2 linked regions of the Mus musculus genome follow. The protein of the gene in region 1 purifies or fractionates together with the protein of each later gene. This does not show direct contact. Links are inferred from orthologs where the notes say so. Each region holds a gene or a part of one and is shown on either strand. Other genes may lie near its edges.

The links.
Region 2: the proteins of Pbrm1 (region 1) and Actl6a fractionate together in Homo sapiens (co-fractionation; 4 studies listed by BioGRID and IntAct, with this or other methods). This does not show direct contact. The link is inferred for Mus musculus from reciprocal best matches to the Homo sapiens genes PBRM1 and ACTL6A.

What each region holds. Positions count from the first base shown.
Region 1 is NC_000080.6:31,060,905-31,073,828, reverse strand, and holds part of Pbrm1 (protein polybromo-1), read right to left. Parts: intron 12,361-12,924; coding exon 12,084-12,360; intron 9,084-12,083; coding exon 8,978-9,083; intron 6,508-8,977; coding exon 5,865-6,507; intron 1-5,864. UniProt on the Homo sapiens protein: Involved in transcriptional activation and repression of select genes by chromatin remodeling (alteration of DNA-nucleosome topology). Required for the stability of the SWI/SNF chromatin remodeling complex SWI/SNF-B (PBAF).
Region 2 is NC_000069.6:32,718,584-32,731,507, forward strand, and holds the end of Actl6a (actin-like protein 6A), read left to right. Parts: coding exon 1-73; intron 74-1,317; coding exon 1,318-1,379; intron 1,380-1,602; coding exon 1,603-1,717; intron 1,718-1,851; coding exon 1,852-1,932; intron 1,933-4,036; coding exon 4,037-4,132; intron 4,133-6,663; coding exon 6,664-6,750; intron 6,751-7,938; coding exon 7,939-8,019; 3' UTR 8,020-8,388; downstream 8,389-12,924. Other genes in the region: Mrpl47 (39S ribosomal protein L47, mitochondrial), read right to left, coding at 9,011-9,134, 9,849-9,944, 11,498-11,628, 12,577-12,673.

The sequences.
Region 1 (12,924 bases):
AACAAAAGAATGAGTGAAAAAACATACAATTGAGTACCTGAGTTGTCTGTGTCTCCTTTTGCTCAAGGTATGTTCCTTTCTTACACATGTCAAAGGAAAGGCCTCCTACATTTGTCAGATATATAGGCCTATGATTCAACCAGGGCAGAAGGAGCTAGCAGAATCAAAAACTGTACTATTGCTCTTGAGACCAAATCCAATACTTAATTTGCATTAATTTTCTTTTTCTTTTTGGGGGTGGTGGTGGTGTGAATTCAAGATGAGATCTAACTGCCTCTGCCTCCTGAGTGCTGGAATTAAAGGCATGGTCCACTATTACCTGGCTGTATCTATTTTCTTAACTCTAGACCCAATTTATAGAAAGTGATAAAAGACTTAGGTTAATGTCTTTCTTCTTTTTAGTCCTAAAGCATTGCTACCTTGACTCACAGGACTCATTGAGAACAGAAGCTAAATTTTAAAGGCATGAGAATATTCTGTGTATTAACAAGTATAGGCCTGAGAGTTACTCTAAATTTAGTTTCTCAAAAGTAACTGATTTGGAGGAAATTGGTAGATGCAAAACTCCAAGATGGGAAAAGTTTTGTGTCATATTTAATATTTGTCTAAATTTCTTTCCTTGTTATTGGGAAGCTATGAAAAATAAGCTTTATTGAGACACAGTTTTACTGATACTCAAACTGGCCTGTAAGAAAGTAGGAAGCCTAGGTTAGCTCTGAACTTGTATGAACTTGTATGATCTTTCTGCTTCCGCCTTCCAAATGTTGGGATTATAGGCGTAAGTTATCAGGGGTAATGGCAAATATATTATTAACAGTTATGCAGACTTTCTGGCTGGGGGAGTATGGCAGACAAAGCAAGGCCCATCAGCTGTCTTTTGAAACATGGACACTTGAGCACCAGTTATCAGATACACTTTGGACGACTCTCCTGTCAACAATGGGAGCTGATGAAGAATTAACACTGCCAATAACCTACATGGGTGTTCTAGAAAGGTTCTAGAAACATGCTCTGGGATCTGAAGATGCTAGTACTTTTGGGAAAGCAATAAAAACAAAATTAAGTAAGGAAGAGTTCCCTAAGATACCGATTTTGAAATCTTTCTTGACCAAAGATATCTGAAGTTTGCTTTCTTTCTTTTTTTTTTTTTTCGAGACAGGGTTTCTCTGTGTAGCCCTGGCTGTCCTCAGACTCAGAAATCCGCCTGCCTCTGCCTCCCGAGTGCTGGGATGAAGTTTGTTTTCTTAAAATTAAATTAATTTCATAATAGCTTACAATTTTAGTGGAAATTATAAGTGAAAATACACATTTGGTAAATTACTGTTACACTGAAAGAGCAGATATATAGTATCAGGCTACCTGATGTAATTAAATTTTATATAAAACACTAAGCATATACTTTAAATTGTTTATTTAAAAAGTATTGTAAATAATTTATTAATCTTTGCTTTGGTTGTTCTTAAAGATTTCTGCAATATAATTATAGATTTCAAAAACATTCTGTCGGGAAAAAAGTAAACAGTGAAACCCTGTCAGGAAAATACTAAGAAGCCATGAGCAGTGTAGCACACTGTAAGTCCCAGCACTCAGAGGCACAGGAAGTTCAGGATACCTAGGGCTAGACAATGAAACCGTGCTCAAAACTAACTAAATAACTAGTTGTTTTTTAAAAAAAAAAAAAAAAAAAAAAAAAAAAAAAGAATTTTTTTTTAGCCTGAGAAACCAGGTGTTGACTATGCAAGAGCAAAAATTCAAGACAGAAAAACAACCAACTCTAATTTCCTTCAATTGTTAAGTAATCCTTTCAGGTAAATCAGACATTCAGCAAAAAGAAATAATTAAACTTGTAAGAGAAGTTCTTCTCTTCTCTGTACTTGTCTTCCTATGGAGTCTTTTTACCTGCAAGGGAGCCAGAGTGCTTCTTTAGGAACCCTGCCCACGCACTGGTCACCAGTCCTGCCTCAGCACTGTGCTGTTCCCAGCTGCTGAGAATGATCCACTGCCGCCTGTAACTGCTCAGATTCTAGTATTCCATAACTGTCAGTAGTACTGGTGGGTAGGGGTTATGTGGTGATGAAGGAAGACTATTCTGGAAATCTACATGTGTATATTTCACATGGATTTATTTACCAATGAATACTTAAACATCTAAATGTGTATTCATGCCTAAAATTAATGTGAATATACTAGATAAATGTCTAAATATTTATATTAGATAAATTCACTAAACAGATGGATTTGAAGCTATTTCTTTTTTCCTTTCTTTTGGTTTTGTGAGACCAGCTCTCACTGTATAGCTCAGGCTGGCCTAAAATTCAGATCCTTCCATCTCTGGTTCCATGAGCTGGGATTTCAGATATAAACCATTACATTTGGTTTATCAATTCTTCTTCTTTTTTAAAAAAGATTTATTTATTATTATACATAAGTACACTCTAGCTGACTTCAGACACACCAGAAGAGGGCATCGGAGCTCATTACGGATAGTTGTGAGCCACCATGTGGTTGCTGGGATTTGAACTCAGGACCTTCGGAAGAGCAGTCAGTGCTCTTACTCGCTAAGCCATCTCACCAGCCCTATCAATTCTTCTTAAGAAACTATTATAATTTTTTCTTTGTGTGTGTGGTCATATGGGTACATACATGTTCATTTGTATGTCATTTGTTTGTGGGTGTGTGTACATGTGTATAGAGATCAGAGGTCAAGGTCAGGTGTCTCCTACTTCCTATTCTATTTCCTGAGACAGGGTCTTGTACTGACTGGCTTGACTGGTTCCTGGGGTCTTCCGTTGTCAACACTCAGCTACCTCCATCTCGAGCACTGCAGCTACAAGCCTGTCCAGCATGCTTGGCTTTTATATGGGTGCCAGGGATCTAAACTCAGGTCTTGCATGGCAAGAACTTTACACACTAAACATCTAGCTCTTTTTATTGATTCTTATGCCACAAGAAGTCCCAATACTATTTTCATTTACAAAAATTAAAATGGCTTTTGTTATCTTTCTTAAACATTTAAAAAATTGAGGTTTATGGGTGTTTTCCCTGTACATATATCTTTGTATCACTTACATGCCTAGTGCCTATGGAGGCCAGAAGAGGGTGTCAGGTGCCGTCAGAATGGAGTTACAGATGGGGAGGAACCAGCATGTGAGTGCTGGTGTACACAGACCTCTGGGAAGAGTAACTAGCCCTCTTAATTGCTGAGCCATGCTCCAGGCCCCTGTTCCGTTTCTCAACAGAACTCAGGGCATGAGATAAACTATAAGGATTTCTGTTTCTATATGTGTCATGGGTTGTATCTTCCAGCCCTCAAAAGCAAAAGCCTATCATATCAATAATGGGAGAATAAAAAGATCTTATTTCGTAAAAAAATCAATCTGTGTACTTCTTAACAGAGTTCCCCATAATCTATGAGACATGTGCTCTTTAGAAGATTCACTGGACTCAAGCAACTGTGAACCACAGGAGTGGCATTTACATTTCATTATTATTATTATTATTATTTTTGGTTTTTCGAGACAGGGTTTCTCTTTATAGCCCTGGCTGTCCTCGAACTCAGGAATCTGCCTGCCTCTGCCTCCCGAGTGCTGGGATTAAAGGCGTGTGCCACCACCGCCCAGCTTAAATTTCATTATTAAAGTACTGCTACATCCCATGAACTAGAGCATGTTCATCAACTAGTATCAACACCCAACAAAAATTTCTTGAATGAAACCTCGTATAGAATTTGACTGTAAGATGCCTCCACTCTCCTCTTTATTTCTATCCCTAGTTCTTCACAAGGAACCATTTCCTAAACATGCTAATCAAGGATCCACCTCAAACTCTGAAACACAGCATATTTACACCCTAACCTTTCCCTTTCTTTTGTGGTTTTTTTTTTTTTTTTTGTGACAGGGTTTCTCTGTGTAGCCCTGGCTGTCCTAGAACTTACTCTGTAGACCAGGCTGGCCTTGAACTCAGAAATTTGCCTGCCAAGTGCTGGGATTGGAGGCATGCGCCACCACGCCTGGCTCACTTTCTTTATACCATTTATCATATGCAGAGTATCAGCCTCTCTATTCATCTTCCAACTCTTTTATGATACTTTGTGCCTTTTTAGGTAAACTCTGGCCCACAAAGTTTCTTACATGATCATGTTGAAAGTGATCATGTTGGGTTTTAATAGGCTACTTCACATTTCCTTAAGTATCAGTCTAACCATGAGATTTCAAGCTCTTTAATATAGAGCTCAACAATGCTTATCATTCATGTCTGTGTTCCATAACTGGTAACTATCAGCAGCAGTGCTCTCAGTGGGAAACAAGCCAAGGCATATCACCTACTAGATGTTAGATTATGAATTTTATTGCTTGCACATCTCCAATTCTTCAAATAAAAACTGAAAAGATTATCAGTCCCATAGACAAGTACAGATGACTTAGAGATGATCTTCACGAAGGGCTTTACCATGATATTTTACAAAAGTTGTCACTAGGAAAAGCAATCATTAATATTTACTTTTCCTTCACGGTCTAGAGCAAAGATCTCCTAGATGCAATTAAACAGTCTAAAGTTCTAGCTCTCAGTACTTCAGAAGAGGGCAGGATTTACTATCTGTAAGTTCAATTTAACCAAGTGCCTGTAAGAGCATATAGAACTTATACTGCGATTGCTGGATTACACTGGGTATTCTTCCAGTAAGTGCCAAAGATACGCAGGCTAAAAAGCTGAAGGAATTTTAGTAAATTAAATTTATTCTTTTAAACCATTTATAGTCCTACACTATGCTCTTAAATTGATAAATGAGATAAAAAAACAAAAGGCCTTATTAAGTAACTGAAATAGAGATTGAGGGGGCTGAGAAGGAGCACTGGTGTTCTTCCAGAGGACCCAGGTTCAATTTACTGCACCCACATGGTGGGTAACAACCATCTGTAACTCTAGTCCCAAAGAAACTAACTCCCTTTTCTGGCCACTGTGGGCACTGGATATATGTGCTGCATAGACATACATACAGGCACACCATCTCAGTACACATAAAATAAAAATAAGCAAGTTTTTAAAAAAGTGAATGGATTTAGACCAGTCTATCCTCAAAGAATAACTCCAAGCTCTCTAATTCATTTAAAACATTCTTAAGACTAATTTTCAAAGAAAAAAAAAATCCTACTTTTAGTTTTATTACAGACTGTATTATTGATCCTTTAAAAGACATCTTCTGCGAAAGGCTGCATTTTAGGTTTCTGCATTATGCAAGAGCTTCAGTCCTGCCCCTCTCACCGGCACTTATGATGACAACTCAGTAGTGCTCTTTACAAGTTTGTTGTTGTTGTTGTTTGTTTTTTGTAGACAGTTTCTCTGTGTGGTCTTGGCTGTCCTGGAACTTGCTCTGTAGACCAGGCTGTCCTTGAACTCAAGAGATCTATCTGCCTCTGCCTCCTGAATGATGGGGTTAAAGGTGACCACCGTTCAACTCCCTCTTTATAAGTTTTGACCCCTCCAACACTGTAAAAGGGGTGGGGGGAGCATATGTTTTGCCTACCAAGAATTCAGGATAGAAGGCTATCTACAGGCTGGTGAGATAGCTCAGAAGGTAAGAGCACTGACTGCTCTTTTAAAGGTCCTGAGATCAAATCCCAGCAACAACATGGTGGTTCACAACCATCTGTAATGAGATCTGACGCCCTCTTCTGGTGTGTCTGAAGACAGCAACAGTGTACTTATGTATAATAATAAATAAATATTTTGAAGAAAAAAAAGAGGAAGGCTACCTACTATAACCATGTACCTAAGCAGAAAGTTTATCAAAGCATAACTCTCTCATCTGTTTTGCATTAAAAATCACATGTATTTATCATAAAGAGATGGGTTTGAAAACATACCGGTTCATCCTTCTTGCCCGTTCCAATACTTCAAACATATGCTCCTGAAATAAATCAAGTCGCCGATACCGATTACTTTCAACATTTTTCCTGATAATGTCAAATGTAAGGGGAGGTTTATTGGGAGAGTTGGGATCCACAGCAGGAATTTCTGCTAAGGAGTCGCTGTAACACCTCCCTTCGTCATCCTGATGACTCATGACTGACACAAAAAGGTTATGGATGAGCTCTTGAATCAGCAACGTCACATTAGGGACATGAGAATCCTCATCTCCCTCCAGGTCTCTCCGAGTCTCAAGGAGGACTTTATGCAGTACAAGGGCATCTTTGTAGATCAAAGACTCTGGTTCATTGTAGGTACAGGCATTATTAAACATCATGACAAAGTCCTCTACCATAGAATCTATGTCTTGGTACTTGTTTGCCATCATGTGACTTCGAATTTTTTCCATGTCCATGGGCTTTTTAATGGTCAGGTAGTAGTCAGGCAGCTCTGATCTAGAGGGGAGTCTTAGAAATATAGCACTAAGGCGGCGACCCCTCTTATCAGTATAGTTCTTTACAGCTTCATACACTTCATTCAGTTTCTGCTGCATTGGAGTCATGTACTTTGATTTCTTAGGAGAAACACCACTCTTCCTACCTGGAGAGAGAGAGAGGTATTGTCATGCGAAGTGGAAAAAATGGCATAAGCATAACTTTTTACATAGTTGGTAGCACAACCATAAGAAAGGGGTTATCCTAAATGATTTGTAAAACCACAGTATTCAGCATCTCTTTAGTAAGATAGATCTCATAGACAAAAATAGACCTGGAAGAAAACCTTTACCCTTCAGCAATATAATTTATATATAAATAAAATTTATATATGTATATAAACATTTTGAGACTGAGTCTCATATAACATAGGTGGGCTTTGAACCCTCCTGCCCCAGCCCCTAAGGGCTAGGATTAAAGATGTAAAGTTGACACAAAAGCTGGTCACTCTATTTTGATGTGAGAGCAAATACTTTCATGATGAGAGAGCTGTGAATGGGCTCAGCAAACGAGTATCTCTGACATTCTGACGTTATTATCACCTCTGACACCCTGGAGAACTGAGAATTTCACTTCAGGAAAAAGATAAAAGTTGTTGAAACAAATTGAAGTGTGAAAATTCTTAAAACTTGAATATCAAAGTATTAATATAGTTTACTATATCTTACTTCTAAATATGAAGTCATATGTATTCTAGTTCCATTCATTGTAATTTCTAGAAATGATAACCAACTCAGTAACAGGATGCCCCAAACTAGTCTATTTATAGAAAAGAGTCTCAAGAAGCCCAGGCTGACCTCAAACTATACAGCTGAGCCTGGCCTTGAACTTCTGATCCTCCTGCCTCCAGCTCCCAAGGGCTGGGATTACAAGTATGTATCTCCATATCTGACTATGTGTATGCTTTTATAATTATATGAAAAGAAGAATTCCTTAGTGAAAAGGAATTGTCATTTGCTAGCAATTTACAAAGTAATGAAGAAATTCAGTTTATGGGTAGTTTACATTAAAAAAGATGCTTGTCTTTGTCCTTTCCAGTAAACACAACTTTAAAGATTATTTGACATTGTTATTGTTTGCTTAGTATTTGTTTAAGATTACTTGATGTTATTGTATGCTTAGCATTTGTATTGGCTAATTTTGTGTCAATTTGACACAGCTGGAGTTATCACAGAGAAAGGAGCTTCAGTTGGGGAAATGCCTCCACGAGATCCAGCTGTAAGGCATTTTCTCAATTAGTGATCAACGGGGGAGGTCCCCTTGTGAATGGCTGGTAGTCTTGGTTCTATAAGAGAGCAGGCTGAGCAAGGGAGCAGGGGAAGCAAGCCAGTAAAGAACATCCCTCCATGGCTCTGCATCAGCTCCTGCTTCCTGACCTGCTTGAGTTCCAGTCCTGACTTCCTTGGGGATGAACAGCAGTATGGAAGTGTAAGCTGAATAAACCCTTTCCTCCCCAACTTGCTTCTTGGTCATGATGTTTGTGCAGGAATAGAAACCCTGACTAAGACAGCATTGTTTCATTTATATTAAATAATTCAGAAATATCTCCTTTAATTCAGTGATTTTTTTTTCTGTGTTCTTTTCCTTTAAAAATTTTGATAAACCATATCCACGTAGGTTACTCAAATGGTCCCTGAGTAGTACATTTCTCATTTCCCAAAAATTTTTTTTAAAGATTTATTTATTTTATGCATATGAGTACAATGTAGCTGTCTTCAAACACACCAAAGGAGGGCATAGGTTGTGAGCCACCATGTGGTTGCTGGGAATTGAACTTAGGACCTTTGGAAGAGCAGTCAGTGCTCTAAACTGCTGAGCCATCTCTCCAGCCCCCACTTTACAAATTTTATCCAGGAGAATTGTTGGGATTCATTTTTAATTTTATGTAACACCAAATAAAATTAACAAAACCTGCCATACTCTTTTTTTCTGGCTTCATATAAAGAATACTCTTCTCAGTCAATGGCTATAAGGAAAACCTCTGCCGTTAATATTCAAGTTCTTTTTTTAATGATTTGGACATAAAGTATACCTTGAAAAGTTCCTCATAAAAGACTTAGAACCAAGCTGGCAGATACAATCACTGAGAGGTCAGAGCATGAGAGTGCTGCTTTTATTAACAGATGACCTGAGGAGTCATAATCTGATGGCGGTACTGGGAGATGGGCTGGGTTGGAGTTAAGTGGGTCCCTGATGGAGTGGTCGAATCACGTCTCTCTGCTCCTCGTCTATCATAAGCTAAGCAAATCTGCAACTCTTTGTCCTTACACGATGTTCTACTTTACTATAGCCCATGAACAACGGAGACTAAGCTCTGTAGTTGTAGCAAAATGAATCCGTTCTATTTCTCACTGTCATATACTCAGTCCCATCAACAAAAAAGCTAACTTTATACTCTTGCTTATTCTTAGACTCTTACTTAAAACACAGTCAAAGAGTGTCAATGTGAAGAAAGTTACCTAAGAGCAGTGCCAGTGAATAAACACTTGTTCATCATTTAATTAAAGAAATGTCAAGGAACCAGCAGTCTCTCTTTGACAGACTAAACTGAAGAGCAAATTCTAAGGCAGACTTACTCAATTTAAGTTTGGGAGAAGCCATGTCATCATCATCAGGCAGAGGGCCCAGCTCTTTCCTTTTATCTTTGAGTAACTTCTCCAGGATATGGGCATCATTGTATACCTACATTCCAAAAACAGACTTAACATTTTTTTCCTAAAAACATTGTAATTAAGAAATAAAGAAGTCTTTACTCTCTGAGGGCGGTGATACATAACTACTAGCACTCAGGAAGCAGAAAATCACAAGTTTGAGGCAGACATCATTTACACAGTGAAATCCTAACTCAAATATCAAAACATCAACAAACAAGCAAAAAATAATGACTATGTGTGAATGAGTTTAAAACACAGTTTAAAGAGAAAAAAAAAGTTAAAAGCCGGGCAGTGGTGGCACATGCCTTTAATCCCAGCACTTGGGAGGCAGAGGCAGGCAGATTTCTGAGTTCTAGGCCGGCCTGGTCTACAGGTGAATTCCAGGACAGTCAGGGCTTCACAGGGAAACCCTGTTTCGAAAAAAAAAAACAAAAAACAAAAAACAGAAACAAAAAAACAAACCCAAAAAACAAAAAGAACACCACAGTTTAAGTCAGCTGGATGGTGTTGGCACATGCCTTTAATTCCACTACTCAGGAGGGCAGAGGCTGGTGGATCTCTGTGAGTTCAAGGTCTGGTTTACAAAATGAGTTCCAGAACAACCAAAGCTATACAGAGAAACCTTCTCTTGAAGAAAACAAAAAGAAAAAAGCAAAACAAAGCAAACAAACAAACAAAAAACCCAACATGGTTTAAGAGAGCCGACAGCTCAATCTTTAGGCTCTCTTCAGAACAGCAACACTCCTATCTTAATGGGGAGAACCTATTTTGAAGCTTTCTGGGTCATTCTAATGTATAAATATGCATGCTAATATCTAAGATCCATTGTGGTAGAAATTTTATAGATGTTTAATTTTTTATTTCAAGTGTCTGGGTGCTTAGCCTGCACATGTAAGTGTCTGTGTCTACAGAAGGCACAAAGGATACTAAATTCCTTGGAACAAAGTTCAGAACTATCTGTAACTCCAGTTTCAAGGGACAAAACAACCTCTTCTGATCTTAACACCAGACACACATGTAATGTGTGTGTGTACACACACACACACACACACACACACACACACACAGGCAAAATACTCAAGTACATAAAACAAAATCTTTTTAAAATCCTTAAAAATAAATAAATAATAAGATAAACATTTTAATGTATTGGCTTTTCTTAGAGTACATATTCACTATTAAGTATTGTTCCCAAAACTCAGTTTTTTTTAATATCTTTTTAATATCATATAAAACTCTGGAGTAAGTACTACTACTATTATTTCTAAAGTATACAGTAGGAAAACAGAAGTTTAGGAAGGAAAATTTCCTTACACAGACACTGGCAAAGCAGGAGCCATTTATAACACTCATCTTTCTGTTACCATCATCATTTTGGTTTTTTGAGACTGAGTCTTACATAGCCCTGGTAGGACTATAATTCATGAAGAACAAACTCATCTTAAATTCAGAAAGCCACCTGCCTCTGCCTCCCAAGTTGCTGGGACTACACTGTGCATCATTACACCCAGCTCTTTATTTTTCGTGTGTGTGTCTGTGTGTATTTGTGCATGCAGGACAGAGTTGGCTGATCATTTCTCTGCCTTTTTTTTGTTTTGTTTTGAGACAGGGTTTTCTCAATGAACCTGGAACCCATTAATTTGGCTAAACCAATGTGTAGTTCCAGGGATTCTGTGGTCTTATCTCCCTAGCACTGGTATGTACTACAGGTATGTACTGCTATATCTGGCTTTCTACATTGGGTGCTGGGGACTTGCACTTAGGTCCTCATGTATGCATAGCAAGTACTTTACATACTAAACTGTCTCCCCAACACAGAGTAGGATTAAAATGTATGTGCCATATAAGTGCAGGGCAGCTGGGCGGTGGTGGTGCACACCTTTAATCCCAGCACTCTGGAGGCAGGGGCAGGCGAATTTCTGAGTTTGAGGCCAGCCTGGTCTACAAAGTGAGTTCCAGGACAGCCAGGGCTACACAGAGAAACCCTGTCTTGAAAAAACCAAAAAAAAAAAAAGTGCATGGGAAACCAAAGGAAAGTAACCGGTATCTTCCTTAATCATGCTGTCCTATCTCACTATCTCACCGACTTTCAGCTATCTATCTGGCTGGCAGGCAAGCCCTCAGAATCCTCTGCTCTCTTCCCCAGTGCTACAGTTATAAGCATGTGCAGTACTGCCTAGCTTTTTACATAGTTCATAGGGGAACTTGACTTGAATCTGTGTGTTTGCAGAGCAAGTACTCTTACTCAAGGACCATCTATTTTTAAAAACAGATTTCTTTATTCTGTATACGGCATTCTGACAGCATGTATGCCTGCAGGCCACAAGAGGGCACCAGATCAATCTTAGAGAGTTAGGAACCACAATGTGGTTGCTGGGAATTGACCTCAGGACATCTGGAAGAGCTCTCAACCTCTGAACCATCTCTCCAGCCCAGTAAACAATTTTTAAACTATAAACTTTTACTCTTTAAAACATGCTGTCTTCCATTTTTAAGCAACCAAGAATAACAAAATATTAACACACTCACCAAAAATAACTAGAGTCAAGAAGAGGTGGCTGGTTGAGGTAGTTCATGGCAAATGAAAATGCTGAAGAAGCAGAGACTAGAGGATGTTAAGTTCAAGGCCAGCCTGGACCATGAGATACTTTGCCTTGAAATGTAAAAAAGAATTGAGAAGATGATCCCTATGTAAGAAGCTAGGTACTACTGCACATGCCTACAACTGTAACACTGGGTAAAAGGATCCTGAGGGCTCGCTGGTCAGCCAGCCTAGCTGAAAGTCAGTGAGATAAGACAGCATGATTGAGGAATACAGAATACCTTCTCCTTTAGCTTCCCATGCACTTACAAGGACACACACACTTGGGAGATTCACTTGCATGTCTGTCTGTCTGTCTGTCTGTCTCTCTCTCTCACACACACACACACACACACACACACACACACACACACACACACACACACGAGTCAGAGACACAGAGAGAGTCTAGCTCTGATCTTTCACACTCTAGGAGCTCCTCCATACCTGGGAGCCCTCCTCATTGTAGTGCCTGGCATTGCGGAACATGAGTTTCATGTCTTCCATCATTCCTTCTTCACCTGCATATTTGTCATTTCGGATGTTATGCTCAATTATTTTCAGGTCCATTGGCTCTAAGATGATTTTATAATAATCAGGATAGTCCTTCTTGGATGGCTTAACCATAAATAGATCGCAAAGTCTTCTGCCTGAACCTGGCTCTCGAGCTTCAAGAACAACATTGAATAAAATTTTCATTCGCTGTTTTCTTATGTTCTTTTTACTGTTGAGGGGAAGGTAGAAAAGGGGAAAAACAAGGTCAGCTTACTTTATCCAAGGGTGACCATGAATTAGAAAAAAAATTTTTTTGTGGGCAGGCACTTCATAATGTTTACAATATGTTGATTAGATGTGTCATAAACATTGTAAGCACGCTGAAAAGGTGTAAGAGAATATTAGGAAAATTTACAAAATGATTAAACAGTGATCCTGGCAGGAGCAACCAGTGACAAACCTGTTTAGAATAGCTCTTAAAATATAATGTTCAAAAAATATAGTGTGATACCATAAGAAAATGAAATTCAATAACTACATGAAATACATTTTTCATTTTGAGGCAAATAATGCAATAAAATAGCCACTCCATTTCTAAACACAGACAAAACAAAACAACCTACCAGTGTTTTATCTCTTAAGATAGCTATTCCTAAACAGATTAAATATCCCAGCTACCAAGGGGGGGGGGGAGACAAAACAAAAAGACCTCTGCATACTACTATCTCCATAGGAGGTACAAGTCCCACAGCATTCCTATCTAAACCACAGTCGCCTCAAGTAGACTGTGGTT
Region 2 (12,924 bases), on another chromosome or scaffold:
TTCTCCAGCCAACTGGAAAAGAAAAGAGAAACTGCCCCAGGTTACAAGGTCTTGGCACAATTACATGTGCAACGTAAGTTACCCTTACTGTCTTTATAAAGTATTAAGTCCAAGGAATTTTATTATTTTTTAAACAACACAGAGGAGGTTTATTACCCTGGAGGGACAAGTGGGCTGCCTTGGGATTGGACAGAGACGGCCATGTTATGTTTTTTTTAAAATATCTGACAAAAGCAATAGCTTGGTGTGGGGAGCACTTTCCATATTATTGAAACAGCCCCTACAAACAGGCCGCTACACAGCAGTGTGAAGAAGTGGGACAGGCTATGGCTTTAGGGTAGAAGTAGGAATGCTACTTAATACTGTTGTTGAGAAAATGGTTTCAGTTTGTGTAGAACTTATTACAGCTTAAGTGAGATTTCTTCCCTAGCATTTATCAAACATAAAGTGTGTGTGACTGCTCCAGCAGTGGGCCAGTGAGACTCTGCTGGAAATATGTCTGCATGTGTAGCCCTATATAGGTAAGAGATCAGTGTATTGCCATCTCATAGATATACATACTAATTTCTAATAGTAAAAGGATATGACGCCATAATTGACTTAGTTTATTCTGAGAGCATGTTGCACCCAAAGGTGTATGTATTAGAACATGGAAAATTCTTGGAATTTTTCCATATCAACATGCAGGCCATGTTCATTTCACAGCAGTCACTAGAAATTCTATAGATATGACGAGTCTGTATGCCATATTCAGGTGATAAATGTTTCTCTTAAAATCAAGTTACTGGGTGGTGGTGGCACACACCTTCAATCCCAGTGCTTGGGAGGCAGTGCAGTCAGATGTCTGAGTTAGAGGCCAGCCTGGTCTACAGCATGAGTTCTATGACAGTTCTATACACAGAGAAACTCTGTATCAAAAAACCGTAGATAAGATAGATAGATAGATAGATAATAGATAGATAATAAATCAGGTTACTTTTAAGGAAAAGAATGATCTTCTGAAACTGGTTGAGTTTGGTGGGGCCGTGGTACAGGTTCCTGGTTGTTTTTAATCTCTTGTTATTGTCCCATAAGTGGTGGAATTGAAATAACTTGTGTAATTATAATTGTAGAAATGAATTTAATATATGTTATAGATTGTAAGTTCCCATGTAACTGTAGAACTGCGTATGCTGATGCTCAGCTTTTAGAAGAGTTGCCTGCCCTCTTCAAATGACTGAACCGTGAGAAAGTGGTCTGATGCCATTGTGTAGTCTGTCACGTACAGTGCACATTACTAAGAGTTCAACCTGATTCCTAACTTCCTTCTGTCCACAGTGCGTCATCCAGGATTTTCAAGCTTCCGTTCTTCAGGTGTCAGACTCCACCTACGACGAACAGTACGTTTTCTGTCTAACTGTGTACTGTACTTCAGAAATAAGGGCTTTGGTTTGTTTAACTATTGAAGGGTTGTAGACTGTTAGCCTGAAAACATACAGCATATGCTGACTACTGCTCTGGGTGTTTGTGCTCTAATTTCTCAGCCATTGGTAGCTCTTGTAAGTGGATTATAAGTTTGAACAGAGTGGCTTGCTTTCTGTGAACTGCTGTTTCCGTTTGTAGAGTGGCTGCACAGATGCCAACCGTCCACTACGAATTCCCCAATGGCTACAACTGTGATTTTGGGGCAGAGCGGCTGAAAATTCCTGAAGGGTTATTTGACCCTTCCAACGTAAAGGTGTGAAAGCTAATTTCAGAATTGCTGTGGCTTTTCCTGTGGAGAGAATTTAATTACGAGATTAAAAAGTCTAGATAAGACTCAGTTTGCCAGTAGGTTTTCTGTGTTCAGAAACACCTGCATTCTCGTTCTAGGGACTGTCTGGGAACACGATGCTGGGAGTCAGTCACGTTGTCACAACCAGCGTCGGAATGTGTGACATCGACATCAGACCAGTAAGTGCCAGTCTCTACTGGTTACTGTCTCTTAGAGCACTGAAATGTCCCAGATTTGGTTTGCAGTTGGCCCCTGGCTTTACGGGCTGTTTATAACCACGTGGAGAGAGATGGACACCCTGATCTGACCGGCAGCTGAGCTCCTGGATTGCCACAAGTCTTCTGTGAACATGGCTTGTGGCTGCTGGACTGGACACAACAGAGTCTAGAATGCTTTACCCTCACAAAATTCCTTTGGTCGTTGCTACTCCAGATTTCCTAAAATGTAGAAAATCAAGATACATAGAAGTTAGTGATTTTTCTTGACTTTTACTTGTAGTTTTCAGAAAAGTGTGGTTTAAGTGTGCAACTTTGACACAGATTGTATTAGATGACCTTTTTTGTTGTGCTATGTCAGGTTTTAAACTGTTGACACTATATCAAATTGATTATATAATATACTCATCTATAGTATAATTTATTAAGCTATAGATTTATTTCATAATCCACTTAGTTTATAATCCACATACTATCTTCGTTTTCAAGTTAATTTGCTTAAAGTATGACGTGAATAGATGTGAGTGTGTAAACACCATACTCACAAAAGGCTGTTGGGTGACCACGAAAATATTTTCTTTCAAGTGTCTTATCACTCCATACCACTTTTCGGATAGTGGAAGTAATAGTTTAGATTTTTTTTTTTTGTAGGTGTGTGTGTGTGTTGTATATGGAGGGACAGTTTTGTGGTGTTGAGTGTCTGTCCCGTCACATGGATTCCAGAGATCACACTCGTGTGCAGATGTGCACAGTGAGCACCTGTAGCCCACTGAGCTGATTTTCTGCTCTAAGTGTTGGTGTTTTCTTATGCAAGGTCACTTAAAGGCAGAGAATTAAATACATTTGTAAGAGTGGAGCTTGATATTGAGGTCCTTTTCTGTTTATTTAACGTTAGCAGATGGGACCCAAGTTTTGCATTTTCTAGTCCAAAATTTTGACAACTTATATGCTTGGAGTAGGTTTTTTTTTGTTTTTGTTTTTTTTTAAGTTTTTTGAGACAGGGTTTCTCTGTATAGCCCTGGCTGTCCTGAATCTCACTTTGTAGACCAGGCTGGCCTCGAACTCAGAAATCCACCTGCCTCTGCCTCCCAAGTGCTGGGATTAAAGGTGTGCGCCACCACTGCATGGCTGGAATAGGTTTTAAAGCTAAGAACAGAGCCAGTTAAAAAGGCAGGCTGGCATTTACATTTGATAAATACATGCAAAGTAGAAGTAAATACATCCCTTCTGAGTAGGAAGTTGTTTTTATTTGGGAAGTTCAGCCTGTGCTCTAAAAAAGTTGCAACATTTCTACAAAAGAGAAAGCATTTTGGCCAGGAAACATTATCATTATCTGTCAGGATCAGAAAACAATTTTGTCTAATGTAAAATATCATGACTTTCAGATGAACAAAGATGAATAATATTATGAAATATACCTCTAATATTAGTAGCTGTTTGCCAATAAGAATTACAAATTTGGGGCTGGTGAGATGGCTCAGCAGTTAAGAGCACTGACTGCTCTTCCGAAGGTCCTGAGTTCAAATCCCAGAAACCACATGGTGGCTCACAACAACCATTTGTAATTAGATCTGATGTCCTCTTCTGGTGTGTCTGAAGGCAGCTACAGTATACTTAGATATAATAATAAATCTTTGTGTCAGAGCGAGTGGAGCCGACTGGAGCCAGCAGCAGTCCTAAATTCAATTCCCAGCAGCCACATGATAGCTCACAACCATCTGTACAGCTACAGTGTACTCATATACATAAAAAAAACTTTAAAAAAATTATGAGATTAATAATAATTGTTTTACATTAGTGGCTCTAGGCTGGCAAGATGACTCAGTGCATAAAGGTGGTTGCCGCCAAAGTCTGATAACCTGAATTTGATTCTCAGAATCCACATGTTGGAAAAAGAACTCCCAAAAGTGTCTTACTAATTTCCATATATAAGCTGTGGCTTGCTTGCTTACATACATACAAAATAAGTAAATGGAACAACAGGTTGGTAGCTGGATCCAATTCCCAGCACCTATCAATACTGTGGGATTGCTGGAAACACCTGGACATGATTCTGCTTCTCTCCTAGGGTCTCTACGGCAGTGTGATCGTAGCAGGAGGAAACACGCTAATACAGAGTTTCACTGACAGGTTAAATAGAGAGCTTTCTCAGAAAACTCCACCAGTAAGTTTTTCTGTTCTTTGTGTTATTTATTTGTGTCCATTCTCACCGAGTAGAATTTAATAGATAGTTGTGTGCCTTTATATTATGAGTAATATCTATTAATAATGTATTTGTCCTATGTAACACCTATTGGTTCCTCTTCTGTTACTTGAATTTCTTTTAAATGTTTGTGTGTGCTGTGTACATTAACCCATGTATGTCTCTCTGGAGGCCAGAGGTCAAATTCGGTGTCTTTTATCTCTCTCCACATTATTTTACATACACACACTCACATATAAGTGTGCACACATGAGCACACATACATATACACTCACAGGGCATATGGTGCTAATTTTCAAGGGAGAGGAGAATCTGGAGGGGTAATTTACATGGTGTATTAATAATACAAGGCATAATATGCTTACAGGGTATTAAGTGTTTCTGTAGAAACTGTCTTAGTTGCTGATGTTAAACAGAAGTGCTGTCTGGGTATTAATACGCTTGCATGATTGACATCTGCCGTCAGTATACTGCAGAGTTGGAGATGATAGTCTAGAGAGTGGTCCTCAATCTTCCTAATGCTGTAGTTCCTCATGTTGTGACCACCACACAATTATTCTCATTGCTAATTCATAACTATAATTTTTCTGGAGTTTTTTGGTGGGGGGAGGGTTCGAGACAGGGTTTCTCTGTAGCCCTGGCTGTCCTGGAACTCACTCTGTAGACCAGGCTGGCCTCGAACTCAGAAATCCGCCTGCCTCTGCCTCCCAAGTGCTGGGATTAAAGGCCTGTGCCACCACTGCCCGGCTCAATTTTTCTGTTATGATTTATAATGTAAATACCTGATATGAAAGCATCATTAACCCCCAAAGGAGTCAAGGAGGTTGAGAAGCACTGGTGTAGGAGAACCTGCAGTAGAAGTTCTGACGGTTGGATTTCATAGAAAGCCAACAAATACAACTGCAGGCATGAATGGCCCAAGGTCTGCTGAGGAGTGAACTAGGGGCTGGTGTTATGTAGCCTTCCCTGCATCAGCTATTCTTGCAGAGGACATGAGTTCCCAGAACCCACTTTGGGCTCCAGTGCCCTCTCTGGCCTCTTCAGGCACCTGCACTCATGTGTACATATACTCACACAGGCATATACATACATACACATAATTAAAATAATTAAATAAGCCCCCCTCTCCCCAAGAGTAATCTAGAAACCTTTGTCCTTAAGGGAGTAATTAAAACGAAAATTGTCAGAAGAAAAGTTCCATTCTGGAACAGACACCCATACTAGCACATTGCTGGTTCTGGGCTCTGACACCTCACACGCTAATGCACTATGAAGGTTGTCCACATTTGTGTTGTATAGAGTGCCTGTTTGGACACCTTGAAAATGATTCCTAGAGGCAGATTCATAAGGAGGAAAGGAAAAGACCCTAAAGAAAGTGAATTGAATACATCATTGACCCCCGGCCAGGTGATACAAACCTGTTATCCCAGCTACTGCAAGGCTGAGGCAGGAAGATCCCAAGTTTAAGGCTGGCCTGGGCGATATACTACGTTCAGAACAGAGGCACTAAGGTTTTAGTTTTTTGAGATGGGGCATATGTTGTTGTCCCATTGTAGACCAGGCTGATTTACTCAGCATTCTGCCCCCTTCAGCCCGGGTGCTGGGGTTGCAGACATGAGCGTGAATCAAGTCACTTGTGGTCTGGCATTTTGATTGGGAAGAGTTTCGGTAGCAGGATCTCTGGGGTAGGGTGGTGGGTGGGAGACTTCGAAGAAGAGGAATGAAGCACCTGGGGCCTTTGGAGGTGCATGAACTGTAAGGGCTGGCCTTGTCCTACGCAGGTTTTACAGTTTTGGTTTTGTTGCTTTGTTAATTTATGTTTAACAGGAAGAAATTATGTACATATATAAATCCTGTCTTACAACTCTAAATGAGATTACAGAGTAACAGTGTTCGTGATTAAAAGAACATCATAAAATATATTTAATAGAGCTGTTCAAGGGAGGAGACTGCAAGCTCTGTAATGTCTTTAGTGCTGCAGAATGAAAGCTCTCAGGGGAGTGTCATGTTGAGGAAATTGAACAAGTTTCCTGACAGCAAAAGTTAGAGCATGGGTTTCAGTATTTCCAGTCCAGTGTGTCTTCCTACCTGGTGTGGTGTTGCATGCTTGTGTTTGCCCAGTCTCTTGAGTCACATAGTTCATTTTCTTACCCGATATTCATTAAGACCTTTCCTGAAAAGTAGCCTAGCCTATGCCAACTATTAGCTTAGCCATTTGACACCATGTGAAACTAATTTGTTTTTCCGTGTGTGTAGAGACAGACAGGGTGAGTGGGTGTGAGTGTTGGATGCTGTTGTAGTCCTATTTGACCTCAAACTCACTATGTAGGCCATACTGGCCTGGAACTAAGAGATCTGCCTGTCTCTGTATCCCAAGTGCTAGGATTAAGTACATGTTCCACCATGCCTCTAGAGGTTTTTCAGCACTGAATTCCCAGGTTGGCGGTTGTGGCTATCCCAGTATCCTAACGCTTCTTCTTCATCTGTTGTAGAGTATGCGGTTGAAACTGATTGCAAACAACACGACGGTGGAGCGGAGGTTCAGCTCATGGATTGGTGGCTCTATCCTAGCATCTTTGGTTAGTAGTTAAGATTCCACTGACACAGTCTCTGGTTTGAGAGAGGAACTTTTGAGAATAAGATTGTGTGTAGCAGTTTATAAAGAACGTTTTATCATCTCACAGTGCACCATATTTTTCTCTGAACAATTACATCTTTTCTGGTTCTTTTTGTTGGGGCTCAAGAATTCTTTTAGTATTTATTCTATATTGATAAAAATCTGTCTTGGTACTACAAGTAACTCTCCCCAGTTTATACATATATTTTTCCCTAGAACACCACTCTGGGTTTTCTGGAAATGGTTTATTACAATTTTGAGTCATAAAAACTTTCAGTACAAGCAGAAATTTTAACTTAAAAGCAAGATTCTTATTTGGCTTAAATATTGCATTAAAAATACTATTTAGTAAAAATATTAAGAATGATTTCAGTGCTTCATTGATCTTTGCACTTAAAACTGACAGATGAGTGGGGACCTAGTAGGAGTATCTGCTTAAAACCATTTACATATAAAAATGACTCCCCACTCCAGCAACCTCAGGCTGGCCTCCGACTTGGAGCCGTCTTGCCTGAGCCTGAGTGCTGGGACTACAGGTCTACACCACTGCACTTGGCTCTGTTGGGTACATCAGATGCATCATCAGTGAATAAGTCACCCCACACGGTCTTCCCCTTCAGTGGGATCTGTTGAGCCTCTGTAATACGTCTTGGCCCTGGGCAGGCTTAGGTGCACTGCATTTATCGATGAGCCATTTCTTGAGTTCAGTTGTTTCCCACCTCCTGGTGAGGCTGTCAGGAGTTGGCTGTGTAACCAGTAAGATCACTGTGCTCGGTCTGAACAGGAGTCCACCTTGAGTTGAGAGTGTGAGATGGAGGGCATCCCATTTTCCCTCAGGACCTTAGGTAACTGGCATGTGCCCACTAAGAGGCCCCACTACTGCCCTAGGACCCTTCCTCATGCCTTTGCCAGCCACGTTCTCATTTCTTTTTGATGTAACAGGTATAGAGGGGCTTAGTGTTCTCTCAGACCTGAAAGGCCAGGCTAAACAGTGTCTTTGGCCTGTCTCAGAAGAAGGAGCGGAATAGGGGACAGTACTGTGTTGGAGGAGGGGTTTAACAGTTTAGCAGCTAAGGACCTTTATGAGTACAAAGCACCACCTTCTAATAAAAAGTGAGGCATAATTCTGCTGTTTCTTCCCATCTTACAGGGTACCTTTCAACAGATGTGGATTTCTAAACAGGAATATGAAGAAGGAGGGAAGCAGTGTGTAGAAAGAAAATGCCCTTGAGGGCTCCACCCTGCCTGCCCGTCACCTCAACGTCTGTAGCTTTAGTACACTCAGGAAAAGATGACCATCTTTTGTAGAATGTTTATACATGTTTGCATATTTCAATTTCCACTTAAATTTTTTAAGGCTTTAACTGGCTCTATAAATTAAATGAGTTTGTGCTTTCCTTGAAATGCACTTATTCTTATTACAGGCATTTTATAATTTTGTATGAATGTCTATTTTCTCTAAATATTTTGCTTTCAGTAAGTACTCTCCAGCTCTCCTGGGGGTTGGTTGGTGGAATTACTCTGTATTGACAAGTACAAGTTACTGCCTATGCTTTGTACCTTAGGCTACAAAACTAAATAAAAATCACTACTGTCCTAGAAGCGTGCTGGATTTGTCTGTGTGACTGGCTGCTGTCAGCGCTGCTTCTACCATTACTTGATGTGGGGAAGCAATCACTGACTACCAGTGTCCACATCCCTTTCCTGCTAACAATTATGTATATGGATAATTCACCTGCATGGACATCTGCACCACACTAGTTAGTGCCTGGTGTCTGCATAAGCCAGAAGAGGGTGTTGGTTTCCTACAAACTGGAGTTACAGAGGTTATGAGCTTTTCTATCTGTGCTGGGTTCTCTGGAAGAGCAACAAGTGCTCTTAAACTCTGAGCCCTCCTCAGATCCTTCCCCCTCACAGTTTAACACTAGTGAGAACAGCATTTCCAAACTGACTTTGCTGCTAGCCTTGCTCTGGCACCCAGCATTACATTTGCATTACATTAAGCTGCTTAGATGTCAGGACCCATTCAGTGGGAACTGAGCCTGAACTCTGCCTGGTTTTGATAGAAGGAGCACTACTTGTAGAGCTAATGAAGATGCCATGTGAGCTAGAAGAACAACTGATGTCACTTGACAAGAACATTTCTTTATAAACTGCTTAACAGGTATTCACGTCAGGACACAGGCTTTAAGAACAATGGAACCAGACTTCTGGGTCTCATCTTAGACACTACTTGATTTCCGTTCTTGAGAGAGATGTGGGAACTTTGCATGGAGAATTTTTTCTTTCTTTTTCTGTAAACTTCTCTTTCTTGCTTCAATGCGGGCGTGTTTCTCAATTCTTAGTCTAGAATAAAAACAGCAACTTAGACAAAACCATTCCATTTCTCAAAACGTTCTGGCCAACTCTATAAGAGCATCAGTCATGTCGGCAGCACGTGGTGTGTATAAATCAAGCTTTAACAGTGATCACAACCATCTGTAATGAGATCTGATGTTCTCTTCTGGTGAGTCTGAAGACAGATACTGTGTGCTCATATACATAAAAGAAATAAATCTTTTTGAAAAAGGGTGAGTGGGTGGGTGGAAGAGCCGTCCCTAGTTCCCTTAGGATCACCTAGCTGGTGGTTATTGCCAACTACAGTTATGTAACAAGCACCGTACTCTCCTTGTCTCATGAACTGAAGGCAGTCTGCCACAGGAAACCCTGAGGTGGCAGTCCGTAGCATAGCACTATTTCAGTGCTGCCAACACCCCTTTCCACTAGCCCTGGAATAAGGAGCTTACACTCCACATGGTACTGTCGAACTTCCCTCATTTCCAGACATACAGAAGCCATACAACTTCCAAAAGGATATGTACACACTATTGGGACAGTGACTTTATGCACATAAGGTTTTAGATGTATGGCATCAATTTTCTCCTTTTTTCAACCTAGTGCTATTTCTTTTTTCAAAGTAATGAAAACATATTCTTCATGTAGTAGAAACCAAGGTGTAAAGGAAGCTCAGGTCACAGGCCATCTGGAGTAAGGCTGCTTCACCATGAGGACACTGCTCACCTGATAAAGCGATCCACATAAGGCATTGCGAAGAACCGCCTCCTGTTGTATCTTTTATTTAGGTACCAAGGTATAGGCCACTGCTTGAATTTGTGCCTGCCAAAAAAGGGAAGTTACTGCTTTACATAAAATACTTGATACATTTTTACTTCAATTTTCACTGTTTTCTAATTGGTCTCTAATAAATTAAACCAAATAAAAATTAGTACATAAAAAGGGCCAGTGAGATGCTGAGCAAGTTCCCTGTGACCTCCACACATGCACCACAGCACACACCCCCACAAACAGGTAAAGTAAAAATTTTTAAAAAGCAGTTTTAAAATAAAATTAGAAAATGCAGTTAAAATTATATTACATGCTAGAGATTTTCAACCAGAGCTACATCCCTAAGTCCTTGAAAGATTTATTTTGAGATGGGGTTTCTCTGTGTAGCCCTGGCTGTCCTGGAACTCACTCTGTAGACCACAGGCTGGTGTTGAACTCAGATCCACCTGCCTCTGCCTCCCGAGTGCTGAGATTAAAGGTATGTGCTACCACTGCCTGGCTCTTTGGAAGAGTTTTTTTTTTTTTTTTTTTTTTTTTTTTTTTTTTTTGGTTTTTCGAGACAGGGTTTCTCTGTATAGCCCTGGCTGTCCTGGAACTCACTCTGTAGACCAGGCTGGCCTTGAACTCAGAAATCCGCCTGCCTCTGCCTCCCGAGTGCTGGGATTAAAGGCGTGCGCCACCACGCCCGGCTTGGAAGAGTTTTTAAGTGACGTTTTGGCAATTTCTCTCTTTCTGGTTGGATTAGATGGTTCCTGACAGGATGGCTGAAATTCTACATCAAGTGAGAGGTGCTGTCCTGAGCTTGGAAAACGTCTAGGCATTTCAAGCTTCTCCACTTTCGGACTCATGTTTAAGACACTACATGTCCCCGAGTCAGTGGATTCTCTGAGTCCTTTACTCCTCAGTGTCTAAGCTGAGTCTCAGATCCTTCCCCAGGAGGTAAGCTGTTCAGTACTTGGCCAGTGTCTAAGCTGAGTCTCAGATCCTTCCCCAGGAGGAGGTAAGCTGTTCAGTACTTGGCCTAGGGCTTATCCAGATGCTAGTGAAACAAACAATCTGAACTTGTTGCTTAGAACTCTCAAGAACCCCAAGTTCTTAGTGCACAAGGTGGGCAGAGGTGTACCTGAAATTAGCTTTGAATTTTAGAATCTATATAGGCTGATTTTTCTGTCAGATGTATCTGTCAGAAGAATTCACAAAACTCTTGAAAGAACTTATGATTTATACAAGACAAGAACCCATGGGGATGGGTTGTGTGGTCTGGAATTTGTTTTACAAGACAAAACACTTTGTCGTTTAGGGGATGGGGACCTCTCTTTTTTTTTTTTTTTTTTTTTTTTTTTGGTTTTTTGAGACAGGGTTTTTCTGTATAGCCCTGGCTGTCCTGGAACTCACTTTGTAGACCAGGCTGGCCTCGAACTCAGAGATCCACCTGCCTCTGCCTCCCGAGTGCTGGGATTAAAGGCGTGCGCCACCACGCCCGGCTTGGGGACCTCTCTTTATATAAGACCGCTAATATATCCACAGGAGAGGAGTTTTAAAGGTCCCGAGAGGGGAAACCAGGCCACCCGTCTCCACTCTTAGAAGTCAGTATAATCATGTACCAGACAATTCGTCCAAAGATGTCCCTTCTCCAAGCACCGGGTCTGGGCTTTTCTTGACCGGTCTGAAGAAGCCTTAGAGCATCTTCCCTCTCCTGGACAACTTTATCTACGTTATCCATGGAATCAACGACCTGCGGTGAGAAGAAGACAGCTAACTTTAGCCGTCACCTGCAACTGCATTCCAAAAGAACTCTAGGGCATCCACAAAGCGGGAACTTGTACTTTTTTTTTTTTAGAAACCACCCTTTACTGTACTTCGTAAGAAGCCTTTGATGAGTGTTCACGGGTGTCTGTTGCATGACTCTCCGTAACCTGTTGGAAGTTTTCTCCTTTCCTTTCTGAATCCTTGCTTCCGAGGGCACACGGTACTAGCACTCAGTCTGAGAATGCAGCAAGCTAAGGAGAAGTGACAACCTCTGCTGCCCTTGTCCAAGCCAAGGACACACTTGGGCTAGGCAGACACACGGTGTCACACTTGTGTCACACGTGGCCTTTCATCTGCAGGCAGGATGTGCGAATGCTTAGATGGTGTGGGGAAGGGAAGGGGAGGCAAGTGAGCTGAGGTGAGGCTCAGTACTATGGCGGGTACAAAGCTCGGCTCTGCTCTCACTGGCTACACATGACAGAAAAATCAAGTGCTGAGCTCTAAAACAATCTAGGGGTGAAACAACCAACTAAGAAGTGGGCTGTGCTGCTGGAGAATGGCTGTGCTGAGCTGGAACGTGAGTGCGACGGTCACTGGGGACGGAATGTGGACTCCAGGGCACGAGCTCCCCACACAGGGCTGCCTCCGTGGATGAACCTGCCATACATGGCTGCCCCAGAAAGCAGCTCACTAGAGACTTAGTGTATGCCCTGGCAATTTTACTCCCAGGGAGCTGCTCAGGATAAAAACCAATACCCATCTGTAAGTAGCAACTGAGAATGAGGGAACAGCGAAGGTGCCTAGCACTTGTGACAAAAGGCTCGCATGTGGGACTGTTGGGATGGTGCTGGAAAGACATGTAAGAAGCATGACCTCGTTCCCTTTCAGCGTTACCCAGGCGGGCAGGGGTCTGAGCGCCCGCCCACAAGCCTACCTTTTCTAAGCGCTCCGGACTTGGCATTGGCAACCTCTGTCGCTTGGCCTCCTGCTCCAGAGTTAGAAGCATGTTTCTTTCCTTCAGAAGGACATACCTGTACCAAACACAAAGCTGTGATGTGATTCATTCAACAGTGATTTCTTACATCAAAGTCAAAAGCCAGGAAAGTCCTGCAGCCCTTCAGAAAGCTCGCACAGCACCATCGAGAAGAGCCACCCTCCAGCGTACTCTGTGCTTTGTCCTGTGTGGAGTGCCAGAGGGTCATAACAGCACCAGGCACAGTCCGTCCATGCCACAGGGAAGTGAGAAGAACAGTGTCTACTGTGCAGCCATTGCAAGCCCGAG